3 linked regions of the Saccharomyces cerevisiae S288C genome follow. The protein of the gene in region 1 interacts with the protein of each later gene in a biochemical or structural test. Each region holds a gene or a part of one and is shown on either strand. Other genes may lie near its edges.

The links.
Region 2: of the proteins of SMK1 (region 1) and ISC10, one has a biochemical effect on the other in vitro, tested with the Saccharomyces cerevisiae proteins (3 studies listed by BioGRID, with this or other methods).
Region 3: of the proteins of SMK1 (region 1) and CAK1, one has a biochemical effect on the other in vitro, tested with the Saccharomyces cerevisiae proteins (one study listed by BioGRID).

The regions. Positions count from the first base shown.
Region 1 is NC_001148.4:664,381-667,946, reverse strand, and holds SMK1 (mitogen-activated protein kinase SMK1), read right to left. Parts: upstream 1,668-3,566; coding exon 501-1,667; downstream 1-500. Other genes in the region: exocyst subunit SEC8, read right to left, coding at 1-271; YPR053C (uncharacterized protein), read left to right, coding at 1,704-2,159; NHP6A (high-mobility group nucleosome-binding protein), read left to right, coding at 1,973-2,254; peptide alpha-N-acetyltransferase MAK3, read right to left, coding at 2,457-2,987; autophagy protein ATG11, read left to right, coding at 3,274-3,566. UniProt on the Saccharomyces cerevisiae protein: Required for spore wall assembly. Required for proper deposition of the two outer layers of the spore wall, the chitosan and dityrosine layers. Negatively regulates GSC2, an alternate catalytic subunit of the 1,3-beta-glucan synthase (GS).
Region 2 is NC_001137.3:548,775-560,228, reverse strand, and holds ISC10 (Isc10p), read left to right. Parts: upstream 1-9,701; coding exon 9,702-10,505; downstream 10,506-11,454. Other genes in the region: PUG1 (Pug1p), read right to left, coding at 1-775; TOG1 (Tog1p), read left to right, coding at 1,549-3,933; FAU1 (5-formyltetrahydrofolate cyclo-ligase), read left to right, coding at 6,260-6,895; FMP10 (Fmp10p), read right to left, coding at 6,970-7,704; YER181C (uncharacterized protein), read left to right, coding at 8,433-8,756; SLO1 (Slo1p), read left to right, coding at 9,107-9,364; recombinase DMC1, read right to left, coding at 10,712-11,454. UniProt on the Saccharomyces cerevisiae protein: Indispensable for spore formation.
Region 3 is NC_001138.5:76,721-88,810, reverse strand, and holds CAK1 (cyclin-dependent protein kinase-activating kinase CAK1), read left to right. Parts: upstream 1-9,649; coding exon 9,650-10,756; downstream 10,757-12,090. Other genes in the region: EPL1 (Epl1p), read left to right, coding at 1-964; BST1 (Bst1p), read left to right, coding at 1,577-4,666; alpha-factor pheromone receptor STE2, read right to left, coding at 4,936-6,231; GTPase-activating protein GYP8, read left to right, coding at 6,899-8,392; putative ATP-binding cassette family ATPase CAF16, read left to right, coding at 8,598-9,467; AGX1 (alanine--glyoxylate transaminase), read right to left, coding at 10,823-11,980.

The sequences.
Region 1 (3,566 bases):
CTTGTAAGTGACTACCAATTTGTGACTTTAATTGATTGAATTCTTCATACCGGTGGCCCAGACCTACAGATGTATCATCCAAAAATGCGAGCGCTAGTTCTAAGGGATTAGTGTTATCCGACAGTATTCTATTCCATTGAAGATTTATCCTGTTTAAGTCATTCTGAAGATGGTCCAGGGAACTATTCATAGCAGATTGCTGAGTCTCCGAAAGACTGTTTATGGAAAGACCACGTCTTCTCCCCTTCTGCGCTGGTTTTAGGTAATCCATTGTATGCAATCGAGAGGTGGCGGTTGTGCTGAAAAAGTAGCAAGCTTATCTTGTTTATACTCCTATATTTAACAAGTAGCAGACTTTGTTTAGTTGTATACTTATTGTTATTTGAAATGGTTAACAAGAAACTATTTGAGCGTTACCCGCCATAAAGTTTACGTCAAAGAAAGAAGAATTGTTACGGTCAGAATATAACTTCATGATATACCTATTTGTGTAGTGGTTACTATAAAGACGAGGAGGACAAATCGGTTTTGAAATTTTTCACTTCTTCAACCAAGTAGTCTCTTAATTTGGACATTGAATTCAACTCGGATTCATAGGTGAAGTCGAAAGGACCCTGAAGGCAAACAGGCTCGTCGTCTGGCTTCCGCACCTCGTTTAGGAACGGATGTGATATAGCTTGTTCCACGTTTAACCTATGTGTTGAGTCCCAATGAAGTAATGACTCTATGAGATTGATTGCTTCATGCGAGGCAAAGGGGAAAATGTTGGACCATGGGATTTTTTTATATACAGGGTTATTACTGTTTTTGCCTAGATTCCAAGCTTTAATGGTGCCAAACTTGATCAGAATATCTTTATCAGGAGTACCCAAGACTTTGATGATTTCAAATATCTGGTGCATGGAGTCACGCCCCATGAAAACAGGCTTTCGAGCATAGAATTCTGCAAGAATGCACCCTACAGCCCATATGTCTACGGACTTACTATACGGTTGGTTGGAAAGAAGCAGCTCAGGCGCCCTATACCATCTTGTAGCAACGTAGTTGGTTATATGGGGCTGCACAGTGGAATGACACTTGAAAAATCCGGCATGAATACCCCTAGCGAGACCAAAATCGCAGATCTTCAAACAGCCATTCAATGTGCACAATATGTTCCCAGGCTTCAAATCTCGGTGGATGACATCTGCACTGTGTATGTACTTTAGCCCACACAGGATTTGGTAAAGAAAGTATTTGATATGAAACTCCGAGAGCTGCACGGACGAATGTATGACTTTTGCCAAATCATAATCAATCAGTTCCTGGTAGCAATACAGTCCGTCATAGGGCGAGCTGGTCACTATCTCTAGATCGATTAGATTTACAATATTTTTATGGCCCTTGAAGAAGTTCATGAATTTTAGCTCACGGATGGCCCTTTTCAAAAGGATCTCCTTATTAAAGATGTTGCTGATCTTCTTTACCGCTATCCTAGCAGCTGGGCTTCGACCCTTAAACTTCACTGAGCACACTGTCCCATAGGCTCCCTTGCCCAGGAATTGGATTATCTCGTAGTATCCTGGGATGGATATTCTCTCCTTGGCAAAAATCGTCCTCTGTTGAGGAGCACCGAGGTTGGAGGCCACATTTATGGCTCTGGTATTATCTGTAAGTGTGCAATTCATTCTTGGAGCGTTGAGCACGTCTACATTTCTATCGATATGATGTATCGCACGACGTTAAATACTGTTCAAGTGTCACAAATTAGTGGCGCCGAATTCTACCCTCACGCCTCGTCGCGCGCGATACTTTTCGAATCACCCGCCTTTTGCCGCCTATTTTTTTCGCCGTTCGTTTATTTAGCGGTGGGCAAACAAACAACACAGTATTTATTACTGGTACCGACTGTTAAAGAAGGACTGTTTTGGGACGTGTTTTTTTCCTGTTTTTGCTCAATTGACTACCCTATACATAGTAAAGCACAGTCGCAATGGTCACCCCAAGAGAACCTAAGAAGAGAACCACTAGAAAGAAGAAGGACCCAAATGCCCCTAAGAGGGCTTTGTCCGCCTACATGTTTTTCGCTAACGAAAACAGAGATATTGTTCGTTCTGAAAATCCAGATATCACATTTGGACAAGTCGGCAAGAAGTTGGGTGAGAAGTGGAAGGCTCTAACGCCAGAGGAAAAGCAGCCTTACGAGGCCAAGGCCCAGGCCGATAAGAAGAGATATGAATCCGAAAAGGAGTTATATAACGCCACTTTGGCTTAGGGATACTTCCTCCCCGCGTTTTTGTCTGTGTGATTTAATTTCTTTTCCTCTTGTTCTTTTTGAAACTTGCTTTATTATCTCTCTCCTTTCTATTCCTCTTTTCTCTACTGCCCTTTTTCTATATCTATACATATGATTAAATAAATAAATAAAAAAATTGTATTATTAATATATATTTTATCATCATCGAGTGTTTTTCCTTTTATGTGGCCAGCCGGCCATGCATTAGGAACGTAGACCGAGTGCAGCTCTTTTCAGTCAACGGCAATATCAGTTTAAAGGCGTCCCCTTCATTCAAGTAGTAGCGGAACATCCGTTTCATTCTGATGAAACCCATTCCTTCATATAAGTTTAGAGCCGCCGAATTTTCCACCTCTGTTTCTAACATGATCTCATCGCAATGTTCCCTTTGCATTTTATCTATGGCAATTTCCACTAGTTTCTTTGCTATGCCATGCCCGCGGTATGTGGACTCTACGGCTAGCATTCCTATATATCCTCTCAGTCTCACGTTTCTATGCGGGTCCATCTTACACACTATGCAACCAATGGGTATGTTAGGCGTTCCACTCTTGTTGTCAACGGCAATGTACGTTAACTCGGGCCATTGGTTCAAGAAATACCTATATACGTATATCGAGTACGGCTCTGATAGATCCGCATCTATTAGTTTTTTAATACTAGCAAACTGCTCTTCGTTACGTATGTCCAATGGCTTGTACACTATTTCCATGTCCTGACCCAACGCCTTTTCTGTAGTAGTGGCTTTTTTATCTTGTAATCTCTTGTGAAACTTTGTTCTTCATGATTATTATTTTTAATAAGGCTTGCCATGGAGAGCCTTTTTATCGCTTTTGGCTACCCGGTTTCTTGGTAGGAATGGAACTATATAATAGCGATGCCCTTATTTGAGTACCATTTTCTCAAATCAGAACCAAAGTAGTCCTCCTTTGAACAACGATTATTTTAGTGTACTGTTGTTGTTCGGAAAGTACTTCTTTTATTTTCTTTTATACATCATGGCAGACGCTGATGAATATAGCACTGCACCTACCCAGCAAGAAATAACACCACTGCAGACAACAGCCACTATCATAAATGCAATATCTGGAGAATGTATAACTACGAATGTTGATTTTTTCGTTTCCCTGGACAAATTTAAACAGTTCATTGCTAGGAAATGGAAGATTCCTCCCGATCAGCTGCTGATTCTACTACCTTATGGTAACAAACTAAAACCGTCGATGTTTAAAGAGCTGCTTATTAATAGGTCTTTTACTCTAAATGATTTTTACGTTTACGACAGACGACT
Region 2 (11,454 bases), on another chromosome or scaffold:
AGCCATTGAATCCCTGAATAAATTCAACTATTCGGACAATTGAACGTAGTAGGATCAACATACTGCTTAATAATAGGGTAGCATTCACAAAGATCCACTTTCTGGAAATATCTTCGTAAAATAAGCATCTCCTTTTAACATTTACTGTGAATCTTATCTCATTGATAATGAAAAATCCAAAAAAAATTACCTGTACAAAAAGACCCGCAGTTATGAGTCCTGAACCAGTCTTCGTTGATCCTGCCTTAGACATTAGTCCGCCACCTGCAGCTTGTAAAAAGAAACTAAACACATCTCCCACAACAAAGAAAGTCGTACCAAAGCGTGCAGAAATCAAAATTAAAGATTGGCACCTCATAACATGTAATAACCTTCCAAAAATCATATAAATCGTCGCAGCTATTAGTGCTGGAGCGACTAATAAAAGAACAGATTGGATAATATATGGGGTCGTTCTTTCAGGATTGGAACTGGATAGAGCCCTCCCGATATACCCGACAGCTTCCATGATGCAGCCAGTGAAGAAAGGTATAAACGCAAAAACTGTGGGTGTGATTTTTAGTTGCTTGTATTCAGCATCCTCAAGACTATCGACCTTATCATCAGATGACTCAAATGGATTATTTTTCAATGCCTTAGAAGATTTTCTCGCAGCATATAAAGTTTGAACGGCAAAAATGACTGTCATTATAATGAAGAGTACGACAAATACGATTGCAGCCGCTTTACTTGGCGTATAGTGGTAAAGTACGAACCCCGAATCAGTTGTGGACATTTTGGAACGTTGATGGACAATAAAAGATTAAGTAGCTATGTAATTGGACACTATTAACCTACTATCCTGGACATTTTGAGGCAAGAGACTATACATCCCACAATTGATTCGGTAGGTGCTTTTATACTGATTCATTTGAGGTCTTGGCATTTGTTCAATTGAAGTACATTTAGTTGAAAAGTTGAGATTTATTTAGGATGAGCTTGCCGCGGCATGGGGAAAGAAACACTTCATCCTGTATGGAGAAAAACCACTTTGCCGCGGCACATCAAAACAGGGCTGAAACCTTCAGTATGCGCGATACCATTACACGACAATCGCATGGCTTAGTCATAATAGATCGAGGCGCTCATATACATGGCAGCCACAATATTTGAAGGTCGACAAATAAGGACAATATCAACGGTTAGGATACCGAAACTTGAATATGGCTGGTTTCTCAGGAACAGCCGATACTGTCCTGATCTTAACTTAAGGTGCGGTGAAGTAACCTGGATTCAACGCTGCATGAAAGACCTGATTAGGCTTATTTGATAATCCAACAAAAAAAGTGATTGGTTGGTTTGCTAGTATTCAAAAATAACTATTTTGGAGTACTTTGTTTGTTTGAAAGGCTGGGTAATAATTTTTTTGATGTGTGCTTTGAACAGTAAAAACTTTCTTCCTTTCTATAAGCTAGAAGCAAATCCAAATCTCATCGAATAAGCGCATTAGGTTAACGACATTATTGTTGTTTAAATTTTAAGCTTTTTAGCTTTTTATATTTTATTGAGATGGCAGCAAAAAGAGGATTAGCCAAACAAAAATCTAGGGTAACCAAGGCCTGTGATAGATGCCATAGGAAAAAGATTAAGTGCAACAGTAAGAAGCCATGTTTTGGGTGTATTGGGTCTCAATCAAAATGTACGTATAGAAATCAATTTCGTGAACCGATTGAGGCTTTTTTCAATTATACTGGTAGTCTCAGTAATGATTTGGATAATGCTAAGTGCAGCATAGCAAAATTGAAGGCACAGTTACCTCCAAGCGCACCGGCCTCTTTACAGAAAGGCCTAGCAAACATTTGCACTGAGCTTGAAAAAATACAACCTCAGCTTTACCTCAATCTGGACAGTAAGGAAATTAGCTCGTATGGTGGCCTGAAATCGATAGAAACAGAAATTATCGGGAAACAGTCAAAATCTTTGAATAGGTTCTCCAACGCTTTTGAAAGCAATACTGCACAAAATGTCAGTATGTACTTTGGGGTCTATTCACCGTTGCTATATTTTGCCTCTACGGGTATTAGCTGGATAACTAAAAAATTGATTTCATGTTCGAATGATAGGGAGACGAGAGAAACTATCTATTTATTTTTGAAGTTTCTTGACGCTAGCTCTGCTAGCCATGCTGGTCCTAAAGTAACTTCGATATCTCCTTTAGAGTATTATTCAAAGCTAAACGGACTTTCATGTGGGAACGACGTACTTATTCAACACATTATGTCAAATATATCGAATGAAATCAAAGGAAATACAAACATTAACCAAACAATCAAATTCAATAAACCAACAGACTGGTTTATGTACGGAGTACAATTGATGGAACAGCACCACAAGGCGTTGGATCGTAAAAGTTCCAAAAAATTACTTCCTTTGAAATATTTTCTTGAGCAAGATGAGTTGATTTTTTGTCTCTGTCTTGAATATTTTGAAAGATCCCTATTTTCGACAATGTACGACTTGACTATTTTAAAGGGCTTAGTCTCGTTGATGAAACACAGATATTGGATAGACGATCCTTTTGTGCTGGGAAGAATTATTTCCACGATGTCCAGGCGAAGTTTGGATGCTGGTTTGAATCGTTGGGAATATTATATTGGTCAGGATGAGGACACTGCCGAAGAATATCGTAAGTTATGGTGGGACTGCTACTGGTGGGATAGATGGTATTCATTGGTCACCGGTAAGCAGCCATTGATACCACATGAAATGACTTCGTGTCTCTTTCCCAAGGATGTGGTTGGATTAGGGGTAGATGATTCGATGGACTGTTTTACTTTAATAAACTTGGTGGAGCTCGACCCAAGTAAGTTTGATATTTGTATCTCTTTCGGCTATATTCTATTAACGAAAATTATTACAGCGGTATTCTCTGGTTTGCTTTATAATCGACACTTTACAGACTACAGATTATTTGCAACTCCTAACGCTAAAGACCTAAATGGAACCGCACGACAGCTTATGGTAGAGTTTTCAAAAATATGTAAAATTTTTCAGTGCATACAAGACAAACTAATCCCTTTCCTCAAACAATATTCTGAAAATAGTAATGTATTTGAACTATACACCCATTTCGGATTTGCAAAGGTTTGTTGTTTTCAGGGAATGGAGAGTTTAATTTTAAGGATACAAAATCTTCTACAAGAAAGAGAGAGAATTGAACTTGATTCCTGCGTAAAGGACATCAGGCTTCAAACCTTTGAAGCATCTGTAGATATTTTGACGGATGTTCTCAAGCACGAAGATACGTTCTATATTTTCCGTTGTTCGTGGTTCATATATGCCATCTTGATGAATATTACCTTGAATTTTATCGAGACCCCTAGAAGGAACTCGATATGTTATTTATCCTTGATGTGCCGCATGATAGCCTCATATAATGACTTATTTGTGAGCTCTGGCAATGTTAATTTCAAGGGCAACAACGCCTTCTCTAAAAAGTTGGAAAATGGAACAGCGGTTTCTTTCATCCTAACACGCATCTGCTGTCAGATGTACACACGTTCACAGAAAATGGCTAAGGAATCGCTGTTTTGTGAATTGAAAAAATATGGCCAGGCTTGCTCAGATGCTGGTCAAGCTGCGTTGGACATTGAATGTATCTGGTACAGGAATATTATAGGCGAACACAAAGAATCAAGCTTCCGTAAAGAAATTCTCAGCATTCTTGATAGGGAAATGGGTGATTTGGTGAATAATAGAGTTATTGGCGTACAGGGAAAAAATCAAGAAGGTGCTTGTTATGAGAAGTTGTCACCCAGCAGCACCAGTGTTTCAGTTGGCATGGACTTTTGTAGCCTCGAAAATTTTGTGACTGCAGAATCTCTACCAGACCTTCTCAATCTATTTTGGGAGGACACTGAATTTGGTATTACTAAAGAAAACCTCGGAGAGTAAAAACCAAGTATGCACCTAAACAATTGATCACTTTCAATTAGGAAATAAAATCCCTTGATTTAGACGAATACTGTAGAATGCAATAAAAGGTTTTGTGATTCTAATCTAGTCCCTTACGTTATGCACCGCTTTCAGGAAGGTTATGGGCTGTACCATGAAATCAAAGGTGGCTCATAACTAGTAAGTAAAAGTAAATGTCCTTTTTTTATGCAAGATCTAGAACGATTCGAGTATGGTGTTGATACCACTGTGGTAAGTCTTTCAAGCTACACGCAATTACACACACTCACAAATCTAGTTGTATTTACTCCTTTTATTGTTGCTAGTCTAATTATTCGTCCCACGATTTTATCGTTCTTTGAGTATTTCGGGTCTCAAAAGATTGCTAAATGAAATAACTCTTAAAAATTGCTTCACATAGTCTTGTTGTTACATTCACAATTCACAGCTTTCCGTTGCTCATCGCTTGATAGGAATATATTATGATAGGGATTATCCTGAAAGTTTCAGCAAAACGATAATTACTTCAGCTTTTCTTCGTCTATTTAACCTAGTTTTCCGTCATAAATCCGTTCTCTTAAAAGCACACCTACTCCACTTTCTGAAATAACATAGATATTGAATTTGACTTAGATTCATATATTAGAAAAATCGAATAGTTTCCTGTGCCTAGAAATTCTAAGGTGCCATTCCAGAGGATTTTTATGACAAAGATGAGATGTAAGAATCAACTTTTTTTAATATTTTATATCTTTCATCAAAGAAACATCACAATGTATATTACAAAGTGGAGAAGCATCCAAAATATAGCTGCAGTGAGAATTCATTGAACTGTATCAACTGGGTGGAAAATGTCACAGTCACTTATGGAATTCTATGATTTTATTCAATAGAAAACATTTAGTAAAGCTGGTAACCGACCTTTTTTTTTTACACATTTTTTTTTTTTTTGCTGATTATACCTTGCATTCTAACACCGGGTTCTGATGTTATCACCTACTTTGTATCTCGCATCATTCTTTATTTGGTAGACACGTCCCAAAATGGAGGATGCGCACTAACGAAAATGAAGGATAATGCAGTGAGAATGATAATTTTGATATTGATAGGATCAATTGAAAGCATATCACATGTTTTTTGTGAAATGTTGTATAAGAGATAGCGCTCTTGTTGGGTTTCGATAGGGGGAATGTGGAGTATCTGATGTAACACTGTAGTCTTATTTCTTGTCATAAAGAGGGACTGATTGGGGTGAGGCATATTATATTATAGGAAAAATTGCAGAATATCTAGGTAGTAGTCGCTTCAATAAATTTTTTTCCGACACAAGAATAATGAGACAAATCGGACTATATTTGACGATTAAATAAACCCAAAGCACCCCTATGCTATATGGGGGAACTTTAGAGTAAACAAGGTTGAAATACGTCAATTTGTAATTTCATAAAATACGTGAGGTCTTTTTGTGAGAGATACTTGCCCATTTAGATTTTTGTCCATATCGTGATAATTTTTTTGAGTTTTAATTAATGTGCTCCACCATCACAGAGTGTGTACCAGTGCAACCCACTCAGGGATATGCTTTAAGTCATATATTCTCGCTCTATGGGAACCATAAGCTGGACACATTTCTTGAGGTTATTTAGTAGCGAAAAATGGCGCAATGTTACTCTTTCACTTCTATTATATGGGGCTACAATGCCAATAAGGATTAATGGGTAGCGATTGTGGTTTCTTACCTTTGTGTAGTTGCGTAGGCTTTTTAGTGTATCAGTGAGCAAATTTAGTCCAAAAAGATCGCCAGCGAAGACTGTCGTATCTGGATCATTCGTAGTATCGATAGCTTAGCGATATTCTCGAGGATGTAAAGACAGCAGATTGGAGTTCTGATAATTTTTCATTACTTTTCAGTGAGAGAGTGCCTTTCTCGTTTTATATCTCAATCCTACCCGTAGAACTGGTCTGCTATTCTCATTTATCATTTTATTTCAAAAAAACCTTCAGGAGACAAACTGATTCCATCAAAGGCCTGTTTGCTATCTAGGACAATATTCGAGCTTAGTAAGTCACTTCCTGAAAACCATTCTGCTTGCGAGCCCGAAGCTTTGTGGCAATCAGTCTTCCACATCTGTTTGCAAGGGTGTTTTATTTCATGTCGTGAGAGATTTGTGATTAAAGCTGTTTTTATTAATCAGTTAGCAGCTTCATTCTCTTGAAGGATATATATAATTTTCTCAGATTTCTTCCGAATAATATTTAATCATTGAAATGGCAAAAATAAAAATTACTGTCAGCTACGCTATCTTTATATAGCTACAAAAAATTAATGGCCACTAAGCAATTACTGAGACGTCAAATCAAAAGGGTAATAAATGCTCTTGACTACGATATTATCGCTGCAGAGTCGCATACTATTTCTCAAGCAGTACGCTCATTGATCGCTTCCGCCAATTCTAGGCGTGTAGCGTGTTATATGAGCATGGATAAAGGAGAAGTAACGACTGGAGAAATCATTAAGAATTTATTTCAAGATGGCCAGGAGGTCTTTCTGCCAAGATGTACTCATACTTCTGAATCGAAACACTTCAAATTACGGGAAGATCATCATCCACATTTAATATTCCATCGAATGAGTAGTTTGAAAATGGTTCGTGATTTGAAGCCTCAAGGTCCATATCAACTAAAAGAGCCTGAACCGCATATTGAGGAATCAGATATTCTAGATGTCGTATTGGTGCCTGGAGTGGCGTTTGATATTAAAACTGGTGCAAGGATGGGTCACGGTGCTGGGTATTATGACGATTTTTTCCAACGGTATAAGATACTGCATGAAGGCCAAAAGCCCCTCCTAGTTGGACTATGTCTTATGGAACAGGTGGCCTCTCCAATTCCTTTAGAAAAACATGATTATTCCATGGATTGTATAGTATGCGGAGATGGATCCATACATTGGTTTCAATAATTTCATATATGTATTATTTACATGGTACAGCTATTGTATAAATAAATAAATAAATAAATAAGTAGACGGCAAATCTATTTTTCTTCTTTTGGATTCCCTTGTTCGCTAGAAAACGTGGCATTAGCTTTGACCAATGTCCTGTTGCCACTTTGGTCCATAAGTTCAGCCTTTAATTTAGTTTTGTTACCGTATTGCTGAAGATCGGTGGTTCTTACTACAACAAATTGATTAGCTAACGTGGGGAACTTGTACGAGATACTCAAATTCTTGGTTTCTTGGTTTATATTTTTTGTTCCTTTTTCGAGTCTAATGGCCTCCTTCATTAAATCTTCAATAACTGTTGCTAAAATGCCTCCGTGAATTAAGAAAGGATAACCAGTAAGTTTCATTCCTAAATGGTATAGCCCGACAGTTTCACGCCTACTGGGGTTGTAGTAAACTCTTGGTGGTATAGCGACGCCACCTGGTGTATTTAATGCCCTTGACACTAACAAGTTCTCCTCTTCATTAGCAATCACTTGTACAAAACCAGCATTCTCCAACTGTTTTACTATGGGTAGGCCATTTAAACGTCTATTCAGATCAGCGTGATATTTGACGACTTCATCTGCGTTCTTGGGTAGGGCATCATATCTCCAATAAGCTAGTAAGTCCGTGAACGTCATATGCTGTGTCAAGTACCACCCTCCAAGAAAACTTCCCCCAAAAATTGTCCATGGAATCCATCTTCTTTTGGGTTTAGAGGCTGTCTTGAAAACAACGCCATTTGTATACGTTCTTATCTGGGCTATTGCGATTCTTTTAAACATCTTGGCCTTGCTGGTACGGTCTCTTTCTCTTCCTTACTTTTCTTAGTTTCTTTATAAACTCTTTGTGCACTTTGTGAGTTTGTTCCTTTTCTGCCAAGGGGTATGCCTCATCGAAAATTAATCAATCTTTAAATAAGGTATTATGTTAAATAAATGAAATGTAAAATGTGTCGCTAATGGAGTACTTAGAGACATTTTTGGAAATCAGTTTTGTGAAATATTAGAAAGAATTCCTTTTGTTTATTTGCTCAGAGTACAACATCTCAAGACTTTTATTCCTGTTGCAAACCAATGTTCACGTACGGTGACCCAAAATGATGGCAGTCATAATCAAATCTAATGGAAGTTGAAATCAAGAAACGATAATGTAATAGGATTGTAAATTACAACTTACAAAGCAAAAGAAGTAATAATAATATGCTATTTAGAATTGCCGATTCTCTTTTATTGATTCCTGTATCTTTTGAGGAGAACTTCTAGTATATGTCTAATGTCGTTTTACTAGAAATGGGACCCCTGAAAATCGTCAGCAACTTTCAACTGAATCTGAGAATGATGCTCAAGTCGTCATTTTATCTTGCAGAAGCTAAGTGCAGGAGTTGATAATACAGCAGAATTAAAAGTGACAACGCAAGAAACAAAAACAAATGCAATCTCAATATTATGTGAAATTGATGATTTCGTAGCGAATCATGCGCACTGTGGGAGAAGCCTGGGTATAATTATGTATGCTAATACTGTTACGTTTATCTGAGGTTTGTGTGAATTTTGTGATAATTATCGGGATTCCATTGTTGATAGAGGCTTCAATACTATGTATACAGAACATACTAGAACTTCTCCTCAAGGGTATAGGGATCCTCAAATTTAATCGGTATTTGCATACAATAATATTACGATTATTTTTCCTATCGTTTTATATGCTTCATTTTCCCATTACATTATCAATTCTTGCATTTCAGCTTCCATTAAACTTGCTAACTCTTTCTCAAGCTTCATTTCATCTTCCTAGATCTCATATGATACTATACCAGCAGCAAGAATGCTACTAAATGGATGATATTCTAGAGTTTCATTTCATCATCTACACGAAGGGATGGGGGCATCTGAAGTATTTGAAACGTTGCTATGATTTCATAATTTATGCAGGTTTAACACAGATTACAGGTCTCTTGGCCCAGTTGGTTAAGGCACCGTGCTAATAACGCGGGGATCAGCGGTTCGATCCCGCTAGAGACCAATTTTTTTGAAAATCGTAAAAAGGCCCAAAAGGGAGAGCACAGCACGTTCTGCTTAAAAAAATAAAAAATGATGTCTTCAATAAAACATCTTAAGGACCAGTTTGTAGATCTGCGAAGTTGTTGACTAGATAAATTATAATAGCAAACAAACAAATAGGACAATGTCAGCGGAGAACATTAGTACTGGCTCGCCGACGGGCAAGCAGCCATCCTCTGAAGTTAATCTTGGCGAAAGAGAAGCTGGAACAAAAAATGAGAGGATGATGCGCCAAACCAAACTTCTGAAGGATACATTAGACTTGTTGTGGAATAAAACCTTAGAGCAGCAAGAGGTGTGTGAGCAACTAAAGCAAGAAAATGATTATCTAGAAGATTACATTGGCAATTTGATGAGATCCAGTAATGTGTTGGAAAAATAACTTTTCAACGTAGGTTTCTGTTTTAAATAGGTAGATCAGTCAAACGGATGCGTCGCATAAATGGCTGATAAATTTTTCCACTACTCGTTTTCTCTTTTTCTGAGTTTCTATATTTTGCGCCTGTTTTACAAAGAAACCAGTATGGTTTGATCCCATGGGCGATGCCACAAAGAAGCTATAGAGAAAAAATGTTAAAATATTCGAAAAAGCTTCGAAAGATTTTATTGCGGTCACTCATGATCATAAAAAAAACCCTTCTCGCATTTGTAACATTGTATTTTAGTTTCTACTTCTTGTAGCAGGCCCTGAAGTATAGATTCTCAGACACAGTGACAAAATGGATGTCGATGAGAGGTTGCATCAAGATGAAAATCAAACCCACCCTTTTTCGCAAAAGAAGTCAAGCAGTTTCTTGATAAAGGAAAAAGCTGCTACAAAATCCAAGGATCTTGAACATATAAGGCTTCGTGACCTAAATTTCAATCATAGAAAAAAGCTAGATGACAAAAAATTGGCAAAGCAAATCCCAGTTAAGGCAAATTTCAAGAAGCCTAACGAAATTGAAGCTCGCGCTAACCTAAATTCAAATGAATTAACAGATATCAACCTTGACTATATACCGGATTCCCCATCTATAGAGAAAATATCAGGGCCTGAGGATTCTATTGTTGTAACGCCAAGAAATATCATACATTTACAATCTGATTCAGATATTATTCTCGAGGAATGCGAGCATAATTATGACTGTAGCCCTTTTTACCGTCTGTTCAACTACGAAAATAGAATTGAGCCCGATGACTACGAGGCTATTATAAACGCTATAATAACTGACGAAATTGCTGGCACATATCCGGTTTTCGAACGGGAATTAGAGTACCAAGAACTGAAAAGTCTTGTCAGAAAGCGAGATTATATTATGTATTATTTCTTGTCAAGGGATTATCGGGGGTTTTTTCAGTTGAAAGAGGAACGTACTTTATTTTATAGGTACCCTTCAATTGCGTACACTAGCCCGTTGAGGTATCTGGATAATGGATCTGAAACCGAGCAGTTTACCGGGGATGATGATGAGGAGCTCCAATCATTTGATTTTGAAAACACATCATCTGTGAGGACTTTAGATAGTAATATATGGCGTTAGGTAATGCTCAATTTTATATACGCATATGCACCATAGTAATTTAATATTTTTTTTCCGAATTACAACAATTATATTATAATATTCCTTTCTTTTGGAGCTGCTAAAACAAAGAATCATAACAAGATATTAATAATATTAGTAACACAAAGTAAAAGAAAAGTTTAATAAAGGAGCAATGTCATCTTCATTAAAAAAGTATACAAAAACTAGTCACTTGAATCGGTAATACCTTTTTCACCAATTACGTAGACACATTCTTTTTCAGGCATATCTGGGGAATCTTGTAACTTGGCAACTCTTTCGTCACCACGCCCTTTTCTCAACAAAATCCTTGTTGCTGACGCATGTGCCAGAACGTGCCCTCCAATTGGTTTCCTACCATCTGCCGAGGCAAATAATGCAGAAGCACCTGGGTCTGATTGAACTTGGTTTGTCAGAAATACTGCAACATTAAATTCCTCTGCCAATCTATTCAATTTGAAAAGATGTTGATTTAGCTTTTGCTGTCTTTCGCTTAGTTCACCTCTACCGCAGTAGTCTACTCTGAAGTTTGCCATTATAGAATCTACCACGATAAGGCGATAATCTCCAGAACTAAGTTCTTCACCCAATTGTTCAACAAGTTCCATTTGATGTTCACTATTCAAGGCTCTAGCATATGAAACGTTTGCCAAACATGACTCGGGATCCAATTCATAACCTTCTGCAATTTGCTTAATCCTCTCGGGCCTGAAAGTGCCTTCTGTATCAATATATGCTACTTTCCCTTCACCACCACCCATTTCCCTCGGAAGCTGCGTGGTAACACACAAAGTATGAGACATCTGTGTCTTACCACACCTAAATTCACCAAATACTTCAGTGATACTCATTGTCATTATTCCACCACCTAGGATTGAATCTAGTTGCTTAGATCCAGTTGATAAGGAGTACACACGCTGTCTTATAT
Region 3 (12,090 bases), on another chromosome or scaffold:
AGAAAAAAATGCAAGAAAGTTCGTTCAGGAAAAGATGGAGAAACGGAAAATTGAAGACGCAGATGTCTTTTTCAACTTAACGGACGATCCCTTTAATCCTGTATTTGACATGTCGTTGCCTAAAAATTTTTCGACTAGTAATGTTCCCTTTGCATCTATCGCGTCATCCAAGTTTCAGATAGATAGATCTTTTTATTCTTCACATTTACCAGAATACTTGAAGGGGATATCTGATGACATCAGAATATATGATTCAAATGGCCGTTCGAGAAACAAAGATAATTACAACTTGGATACCAAAAGAATCAAAAAAACTGAACTGTACGACCCATTCCAAGAAAATTTGGAAATTCATTCGAGAGAGTATCCAATAAAATTCAGGAAGAGAGTTGGTAGATCTAATATTAAGTATGTTGATCGTATGCCAAATTTTACAACATCGTCGACCAAGTCTGCATGTTCTTTAATGGATTTTGTAGATTTCGATTCAATCGAAAAAGAACAATATTCAAGAGAAGGTAGTAACGATACTGACTCGATTAATGTTTACGATTCCAAATACGACGAATTTGTCAGACTTTACGACAAGTGGAAGTATGATTCTCCACAAAATGAATATGGGATCAAGTTTTCAGATGAACCGGCAAGACTTAACCAGATTTCAAATGATACTCAGGTGATTAGATTCGGAACAATGTTGGGTACGAAGTCCTACGAACAATTAAGGGAAGCCACCATAAAGTATCGTAGGGACTATATCACCAGACTGAAACAAAAGCATATACAACATTTACAACAGCAACAACAACAGCAGCAGCAGCAACAGCAGCAAGCACAACAACAAAAGCAGAAATCACAGAACAATAATTCAAATTCTTCGAACTCCCTAAAAAAATTAAATGATTCGTTAATCAATTCAGAAGCGAAACAGAACTCTTCTATAACCCAGAAAAATTCATCATGAGCAGCACAACTTTGTACCTCTCGAACATCTTTCTACGCATTGGCATTTAACAAACCTGACATTCAAAGTTTACTACGAAAGTCGAGGCAACATTACTGAAGATTCAAATCACCGAAATGAACACCGATAACGCAATAATAATGAAAAAAAACAAAAAACAAAAAAAGATAACTACAATAAATTTCAAAAGAAAAATAGCAAGTATCATCCGGCTGTAATATTATCACCTTCACAAGACTACATATTTTTAACGTTTTTTTTAATTTCCATTTCACACGGTTGTGACCTTTTGATTTTTCGCATGATTTCATCCCAAATGCTTGATGTATTTAAGTTAGATTCATACTCTTATATAGACAATTGCATAACTCACTAGGTACCCTCAAATAAATGCATTTCTTCTTATTATCCATTTTTTTTTCCTGTATGGCGCGAATTTTGAAAAAGGTCTAAATATACCAACCAAGTCATAACAAGAAAAAGTAAAAATGAGTCTCAACACATTCCTTGCAGTTCCATCTGATAGTAAATTCACACTCGAAATACTCCCTCTACTTTAAAGCATTGGCCTATATCTTAGGCTTACCATCATACAAAAATCTTCATTTCGTTATGGGTATCAGGAGATTAGTTAGTGTTATAACGCGGCCCATAATTAATAAAGTTAACTCATCTGGTCAATACTCGAGAGTACTCGCTACGCGTGAAGACCAGGATAAAGCTTCCCCCAAATATATGAACAATGATAAGATAGCAAAAAAACCTTACACATATCGCCTTTTCTCTATTCTTGGCATTTTAAGCATTTGCTCGCTTTTATTGATATCGCTACTGAAACCTTTTAATGGTGCAGATGCTCCTCAGTGTGAATCTATCTATATGTTTCCATCTTACGCAAGGATCGATGGATTTGACGAGAGGTATACACCACTGGCACACAAGTATCATCTTTACTTGTATCGAGAACAAAGCGTAGACCGAGAACCTTTAAATGGTGATGAGTTACAACTTGATGGTATCCCTGTACTTTTTATACCCGGAAATGCAGGTTCTTTTAGGCAATGCAGATCGATTGCTTCCGCTTGCTCCAATATATATTTTGATTCCAATACCAGGGCGACTCTGCGTAACGAAAATGTGCGAAATTTGGACTTCTTTACGGCAGATTTCAATGAAGATTTCACTGCGTTTCATGGTGAAACAATGCTTGATCAAGCTGAATACCTAAATGATGCCATTAAGTACATCTTGTCTCTTTACGAAAGGACCCCTGATTACCCACATCCAAAACCGCAGTCAGTTATTATCGTGGGACATTCCATGGGCGGTATTGTATCCAGGGTCATGCTAACTTTGAAGAACCACGTACCGGGAAGTATAAGCACCATATTGACCTTATCATCACCTCATGCTGCTTCACCAGTAACCTTTGATGGTGACATTTTAAAGCTTTACAAAAATACAAACGAATATTGGAGAAAGCAGTTATCCCAAAACGATTCTTTTTTCTCTAAGAACATTTCATTGGTTTCCATTACAGGCGGTATATTGGATACTACTTTACCTGCAGATTATGCATCTGTAGAAGATTTGGTTAGCTTAGAAAATGGGTTCACCAGCTTCACAACTACTATTCCAGATGTTTGGACTCCAATTGATCATTTAGCCATTGTTTGGTGCAAGCAATTAAGAGAGGTACTAGCGCGCCTTTTATTGGAAAGTATAGATGCCTCCAAACCTGAAAAAGTTAAGCCATTGAATCAGAGATTGCAAATCGCTAGAAAACTATTGCTTTCAGGGTTTGAAGACTACTCATGGATGAATAGTAAGTTAAATTATCCTCAAGAAAACTTACAAGAATTTAGTGACAACTTCTTTTCTGATTACGCTACTTTGGAAATGAACGATGTCCTAGATTTTGAAATGTTTAACCTGGAAAAGTGGCACAACAATTATACAAAAATAAATATTCCGAGTAACATCTCCTCCACTGAACACCTGCATTTCACATTATTAACTAGTCTCGATATGCCTATGATCTATTTCTGTACAGAGTCCAGGGTGAATCTAAGCTGTATAACAGCTGTTGATAGTATTCTAACAGTGCCCAGGTCTTCAAAAGATACTCAGTTCGCAGCTGATTCTTCTTTTGGAGAAGCAAAAAATCCGTTTAAAGCCGTTAGTGTTGGCAAGAATATACTACAGAAGTACGACTACTTGATGATAAGCAAACCCACTTACGGTGAATTTTCAGAACAAGAAGGCATGGAGGACAATCAGGGGTTTCTTTTGGCATTACTGCGCAACGTCTCCAATGTACAAATAGTCAATACTACACCTTCTCAAATATTGCTCTTTGGAGAACAACTACACTTGGATGGCAAAGACATCGAGCAGGTTATAAGTTTCAGTAATTTGTGGGATTCTTTATTATCGTACAAATTAGAAACCAAGATTGAGGCAAGCAACGAAGGTATTGCTTCCGAAGAGACATTGTTTCAGCCTTTCATAAGGCAATGGGTTTACGAACCTTTCGAGTCTAAATGGCATCTAAATATTATAAACAAAAGTCTCGATATAAATATGCATAATGTAGCACCGTTTATCCCATTAAATGAAAGCGAACCGAGATCGCTACAATTAAGTTTTTTTATTCCACCCGGAATGTCCTTAGAAGCTAAAATGACTATTAATTGGTCTTTAACTTTGAAAATGCTGTTTATCAGGTACAGATTAGCACTAGCATCTTTTCCAGTCGCGTTTATAGCACTCGTACTGTCATACCAGTTCTACTGGTACAACAAGACATCTGAGTTTCCTTCCTTTGATAGCACTTTGGGATATATTTTAAGAAAGCACGGAATATTAATGTTTTTTACGCTGTTCTTAGCTTCGCCTGTGGTTAATAATAAGTTGGTACAACGAATACTTTATTTATTGGATCCTGTCGGTTTAAATTATCCATTTCTGCTATCCGAGAGAAACATGCATGCAAATTTTTATTATTTGGGGATCAGAGATTGGTTTATGTCAACTATTGGAATTCTCTTTGGGGTTATGACAGTTGGATTACTAGCACTAGTTTCTAAGATTTTTGGATCCTTGGAAATTTTAGTAATATTCCTTCAACGGAAGTTATCAAAGAAAAACACTGAAGATAAAGAGGCTTTTGATACTATTGAACATAAAGCGTATGGTAAGGGAAGATTAATGGCATCTGTGCTTTTATTACTGTTGGTATTTTTTCACATACCATACCAGATGGCGTTTGTTATCTCATTAGTAATCCAAATTGCTACCTGCATTAGAGTAGCGCTGTTGAAACTATCAAACAACGAGCAGAAATTGAACTTACTAAATTATAATATGACGTTGCTTCTGCTTTTATTATTTGTTAGTGCCATTAACATCCCTATCATTATTGTTTTCCTGCATAATGTTGCCATCAAATGGGAAACTTCATTTAGATCCCATCACAATATACTAGCAGTGGCACCAATTATTTTTTTGGTTGGAAATAATTCTATTTTCAAAATGCCAAACAGCGTACCTTTAGACACGTGGGATGGTAAAGTTACCATCATTTTATTTGTGTACTTAACCGTTTTCAGTTTCATTTATGGAATAAGAAATCTGTACTGGATACACCACTTGGTGAACATAATATGTGCCTGGTTGCTATTTTTCGAAACAATACATTAGAACTACAACCCAGTAAAAAAAGATTAACTGTATATATTGCCTGAGAGTTCTAGATCATGGCAAGAAAAAAGCTTGAACTCGTAAAAGCAAAGGTGGTTTCTACCACTACTTACGAGATGTTTATTATGTAAAGGAGTTTAAATATTATCAAATAAGAAAGATACCATTTTTTTTTATAGAGAATGTGGTGCATCTGATGAGCACCTGAATCTAGTAGTAACCTTATACCGAAGGTCACGAAATTACTTTTTCAAAGCCGTAAATTTTGATCATAAATTATTATTATCTTCAGTCCAGAACTTTCTGGCTTCCTCATCAGCTGCCGTATCGGGAGTGTACATGTCGACGGGTTCAACTTCTCCCTCTTTGTAACTTGCATCAGCAAACGGTCCTATCCTAGTATTTTTTGAACTCGTAGGTGTGGGCAACTGATAAAACTGATTTTTCTCTATATCATCTGCAGTCTCAGAAACAAAAGTTCTTTCCGAATGTTTATCCGATGTTGTTTCCTTCCTTCTAGGATATAGGTCATATAATCTACTTCTGAGACTGCTTTTAGCATCGTTGTTGATACTATCAGTTTGAAAGCTAGACAGCGTGCCTGGATAAAACCTATCTGTGGATGTTGTAAAGTCTGAAGTAATTGTGTTTGTTTTGGATGCATTATTAGCAGCCGTGGCCCACATTGATGATAATGGTAAAGACAATACAGCAAGTAATGTTGCAACAGTAGTCAAGACATCTGTTCCCTGGTTTGGTTTCAAACTGTATGCGAGGATGAATATTATCGATGGAACCAACAAAGATTGACATGACATTATGAGTAAAATATGGAAACTATCGAACTGCTTGAGACCAAGGAATCTTCTTGATCTAATAGCTAAAATCAATTTAACTACCAGGACAAATGACATAAAGTTTATTGAGGATGCAAGTAAAATTGTGGATGCATTGAAGTATTTATCTTGGGTGGCACTAACATCATTATAAGTCACAATCATACCTTTAACAGCGCTTACAAAATACATGGTAACTGTAGCAATCCCTAAAGTGAAAGATATCGACGTCAGCATCAAACCTATCCTTTTGAAGTTGTCGCCTGTGAAAATAACTTTTATCTGAAACACCAGTGAAGTCTCAATAGAAGCCACAAGAAGGACTTGAATTATATTTGTAGCACCATAAACATGAACGTCACCTCTACTGATGAACTGAGGAAATCCGGTGAGAGCGTAAGTCACTGAAGAGTAATTAGACAGTAAATATTTAAAATAGAGTGCAGAATGCAAAATGATTAAAAACAATGAAACTTGGTTGATAATGAAAATCGGCGTTTTTCTGCTTCTCGATGTCATCCACATGACAATCAAAGTCAAAGCAGCTGCACCACATCTGACACCAAACATAATGGCCTGAGTAACAGTACTGTTAACTAAACCTTGCAACTCATCGAAAGTGATGGTAGATCCATTCCCATATATGGAAGTGTAGTTAATGGTGCTTTGACCAGGATTATACGTTGGATCATAAAATAGATTGCTCAATGAAGGAGCCGCATCAGACATTTTTGATTCTTGGATATGGTTCTTAACGGTGCATTTTTAAGTAACCAATTATAATTATAGCCAGAGCAGGTGAAAAGAAAAGGTATCGTATTGCTTTGAAGTCAAATAAGATACTAATAGCACTCCTTAAATAGTATTCCACCCACAGAAAAAAATCTTGAATATGTAGGAAAGCTTTTTTCTTCATATGTGTTTCATCATGTACTTACCCAATTAGGAAATTTACATGGTTGAAAAAACTTCAATCTGCGACTTGCCAGGCACAGGTCCTAAGCAGTATGGACGTTGGCCTGCTTAAATTCTTAGCGGATACTATTGTTTCATTGCAAAGCAGGATACTTCTTCTCGTTTATACTAGCCTGTCTTAATGCACGAGACATTTACCCACAGAGCAAGACGTATATTGACGGATTGCAACACCTATTCGAGCACTACAGCGTGTGACAATGCATTTTGGCAGGCATTGGATAACATATCCGGACTATTCTACAGTTCGTTCTATGCTCTTATCTTGAATCTTTGGTGTATTAAAAAGCTTATTGAGGTTTCATAGCTAAATTTTTCCTTTTTTCTCTCTGGGAAGGGAAGATTATCTTGAATTGGCAAAGTAAAGAAATAAAGAGAAAATTTAGCAAATGACATAGAACAAGCCAATTAACAAAATACGATGCCATTAAGGTCATTATTTCATACTAATCAGAGTAGCCACGACAAAGACGCGTTGACAAGGGGAGGTTATAACGCATATCTGGAATCACTTTCTCGTTGTGACAGTGGAAAGGCAGAAGAACAAAAAGGAAAAGTTATATCAAAGTTATTAGAGAAAAAAGATGTCCGAGCTTTGAGGTACATAGGTTTAGGGCCTCTGGGGTTTGTAAACAACTCATTAAGAAAAGATTGTTGGTATGAATTATTGGCGTCCCAGTTGCTTATTGATGATGCAACAGAGTACATTACACCAGTGGAAAAACATAAAGATGAAGGTCAGGTGATATTGGATGCAGAAAGGTCTTTTGGTGGAATTGTCGACAAAAACTTGAAACTGCAATTGAGAAAACTACTGGTGGAGTTAATTACTCGGGTATTGAGAAAGTACCCAACGTTGAACTATTACCAAGGTTATCATGATATTGTGTCTGTTTTCATCATGTGTTTTAGTTGGAATGTCACAAAAGAGAACGGACTGGAACTAGAAAATCTCTCATTGCAAGAAGAAATTGATATGGAAAGGCTGTTTTATTGCATCGAAGCATTTACCCTATTATATCTGAGGGATTTCATGATGAACTCACTAGATTTTTCATTTGAGCAATTGAGAGTAATCTCTTCATTGATAAAGGAATCAAACATGAAATTCTATAATCTATTCAAATTTGACGAAAATGAGCCCCTTTTCGCTATTGGGTCAATATTGACAATCTTTGCACATAATTTGAAACCTATAGATAGCGGTGACAACAATCTTCATAAAATTCTTTTCCAGATATTTGACATGACAATATCGATGCAATCTATGCGTTTACCTTTGATCATATACAAGAACCTGCTATTGCAAAATGCGTCTGAAATTTCGAAGCAAATAGAAGCTAATTCTGATTTCTTCGAGAACGATTTTGACCTGCGCCATGGTGCTATACAAACAGTTTTACAGAAAAAACTGTATGATGAGGCGCTTTGGGAAGAAGTCTTGCAAATAACTAGAAAAGATGCGACTACTGCCAGCAAGAAGGCTTTGAAACGGGTGAGTCTTAATAAATATAGTGCATTACTCAATACAGCATGTGGAAAGCCAGGATGCTTCGATATGAGCACCATTATCTTCTATTTGAGCGAACAAACAAAGATGAACGAGCATTACAAGGAAGAAAAGTATCATGGTGTCGCCGCCAGATCCAAGACAAGGGCGTTGGTCCAAAGACTTGGCCATTTTTTACCCTCCAAATATAACAGGTGGAGCAAAATTTCTTTACTTATCGGGATTGTAGCTATCCTGTACCAATTACGGACTACAAGGTCGTTGAGTTTAGTACTCAATCTACGTTACATGATCTCCACAAAGTTGAAAGACTTATCACATATAAATATAAATTTGCACCACGTTAGTCACATCTGGGTGGATCCGATTAGGGACATTTTGAAACTGGGGCATCCAACTAGATAGCATACAATATACCTTATATACCCATGACATAGAAACAAACTCATATGTAAGGTATTATTATAAAGTGCTTCTTTAAAATTCGCTGCGGAAATTTCTTCGAGGATGACTCAAATAAGAAAAAACGAAAATTCTGAAAGAGAGATTTTTAGTATGGAGAAAACCAGTACTCCTGCATAAGATATCAAGATATTAGATAACTCTCAAGATGGTTTCCCAATTTGCTATTGAGGTGCGTAACCTAACGTACAAATTCAAAGAAAGCTCCGATCCGTCAGTTGTTGATATCAATCTTCAAATCCCATGGAATACAAGATCTTTAGTTGTGGGTGCCAATGGTGCTGGTAAATCCACCCTTTTGAAATTACTAAGCGGTAAGCATCTTTGCCTTGATGGAAAAATCCTGGTCAATGGTCTTGATCCATTCAGTCCATTATCTATGAATCAAGTGGACGATGATGAAAGTGTTGAAGATTCGACGAACTACCAAACGACCACTTATCTAGGTACGGAATGGTGCCATATGAGTATCATTAATAGGGATATCGGCGTCTTGGAACTATTAAAAAGTATTGGATTCGATCATTTTAGGGAAAGAGGTGAAAGATTGGTTAGAATCCTGGACATCGATGTACGTTGGAGAATGCACAGGTTAAGTGATGGACAAAAGAGAAGAGTTCAGTTAGCCATGGGGCTCTTGAAACCTTGGAGAGTTTTACTACTTGATGAGGTCACTGTGGATCTCGATGTTATTGCCAGAGCAAGACTTCTGGAGTTTTTAAAGTGGGAGACCGAAACCAGAAGATGCTCAGTGGTCTACGCTACACATATTTTTGACGGCTTGGCCAAATGGCCTAACCAAGTATACCATATGAAATCAGGTAAGATTGTGGATAATTTAGATTATCAGAAAGACGTAGAGTTCTCTGAAGTGGTCAATGCTAAAGTTAATGGACAAGTGGCCTTTGAAAATGACAACAATAAGGTTGTTATTAGTAAAGTGAATAGTTTGCATCCATTAGCACTAGAATGGTTGAAACGTGATAATCAAATTCCTGACAAAGAGATTGGTATATAACTGAGTATATATAACTGCAAAGACCCCCTGTATAGAAAATATGTATCTTAGTGGAAAATGTGATTTGACTATTTAAGTTATAGAAGTAGTTTGTGATCCTAAAAAAAGGAAAACGACAGAAGTCTCATAGAAGCAAAGAGGCCAGATGAAGAAGAGAGGCAACAAAATTCACGCCCATCTTAATGAAACTGGATAGTATAGACATTACACACTGTCAGTTGGTCAAATCTACTAGAACTGCTAGGATTTATAGGTCGGATACATATGCCATTAAATGTCTAGCACTAGATTTCGATATCCCGCCACATAACGCCAAATTCGAAGTATCGATATTAAACAAACTGGGCAACAAATGTAAGCACATCTTACCTCTTCTAGAGTCTAAGGCTACCGATAATAATGACCTATTGTTGTTGTTTCCCTTTGAAGAGATGAACCTTTATGAGTTCATGCAAATGCACTATAAAAGAGATAGAAGAAAAAAAAATCCCTATTACGATTTGCTAAATCCCAGTATCCCAATTGTTGCGGACCCCCCCGTTCAGAAATATACTAATCAATTGGACGTCAATCGGTATTCTTTGTCCTTTTTCCGGCAAATGGTTGAAGGGATTGCATTCTTACATGAGAACAAGATCATTCACCGCGACATCAAACCGCAAAATATCATGCTAACAAACAATACCAGCACCGTATCCCCAAAGTTGTACATAATTGATTTTGGCATCTCTTATGACATGGCAAATAACTCACAAACAAGTGCGGAACCCATGGATAGCAAGGTGACGGATATAAGCACAGGAATTTACAAGGCCCCAGAAGTGCTTTTTGGAGTAAAATGCTATGATGGTGGCGTGGACGTGTGGTCGTTGTTGATAATTATTTCTCAGTGGTTCCAGAGAGAAACAAGCCGTATGGGGCACGTTCCGGCCATGATTGATGACGGCAGCGACGACATGAACTCAGATGGAAGCGATTTCAGACTGATTTGCTCAATATTCGAAAAGTTGGGCATACCGTCCATTCAGAAATGGGAAGAGGTTGCGCAACACGGCTCGGTTGATGCATTTGTTGGTATGTTTGGTGCAGATGGCGATGGCAAGTATGTACTGGACCAGGAGAAAGATGTACAGATTAGCATTGTTGAGAGGAATATGCCTCGACTGGACGAGATTGCGGATGTCAAAGTCAAGCAGAAGTTCATTAATTGTATCCTGGGGATGGTTTCATTTTCACCAAACGAAAGATGGAGCTGTCAAAGAATCTTGCAAGAATTAGAAAAGCCATAATAAGAAGAATATATAGGTACATATATATATATATATATATATATGAAATGAAAAGTACGAGGGTAATCACTTTTTCCTCTGAAGAGCTAGTTTTATTAAGTCGAAGCAGTTCTTCATGTACGGTAAATTCTTGTTGCAAGCGGTCACACCCATATGTCCAATACGGATATACTTGGGTCCGATGTCCTTGTGAATACCTCCGGCAATGACTACACCGTGTGACTTTAAAAAAGCAATGACATCAGGAGGATCTGCTACGTATACGGCTGTCAACCCGTGCGCAGACATGTTAGAAGGATACCTACTGACGGATGTCAATTGCAAGCCATTAACCAAACTGTCTTTAAACCAATCACTCATTTCACGGTGCAAATCCCATCTCTTATGCAACCCCTCTTCGAGAATTTCTTTCAAGGCTACATCAAGGCTATTAATTAGTTGTACGGGTGGGGTTGCAAAATAAGCTCCTTTACCAGCCTCATAATTTTCCATTATTGGTGTCCATCTTCTCAACGAGGAAAAATACCCATGTACATGACCATTTTTGCTGTCGTTGAGTGCATAATCCATGAATCTGCTACTGCATAGCGAGATAGAAAGACCCGCTGGAGCGCCAATAGCCTTTTGCGAAGCAGTCAAGGCGAAATCCACCCCCCATTCATCAAATTCAAACTCTTCGCATCCAATCGAGCATACAGCATCGACTACGAAGAACGTTTCCGGCGAAGTCTGCTTAATCGCTTGCGAAATGGCTTTCAGATCGGACAGCACTGCCGTTGAAGTGTCAACGTGCGTAACCGTGACAGCCCCATAGCTATTTTGCGACAACTTTTCAGTAATCAGTTCTAAGGGAACTGATTCGCCTATCTTGAGGGGCCTAACAACATCTACTTGCGCACCGTAGCTACGCAGACAGTCAGCAAACCTGTCAGAAAATGTCCCAGTGGATACGACCAGCACGTTCTTGTTGGGGGCCTTCGAAAGAATAAAGTTCGAGGCAAATATGTCCCACCCCAACGTACCAGAGCCGGCAAGCACAAAAGGCTGAGACTTCGAGGCAGCAGCGGATTTGAAGACAGCTCTTGTGTTCTTTAGCACCCTTTGAAAAATAGAGACGAACTCAGGAGAGGTGTGGCCCAAAGAGGGAACGTCCAGGGCCTTCTGGACTGCTCCGCTTAGGATAATGGGGCCTGGGATCAGCAGCGTATCTACAGATTTAGTCATCGTTGGTGTATTTAGGCTATGGAAAAAGAATTATATGAGCTTTCGTCTTCAACCAGTGCGATTATATAAAGACTGCGGAACAGAACATTCTTGGCCACTCCTCGAGGAGG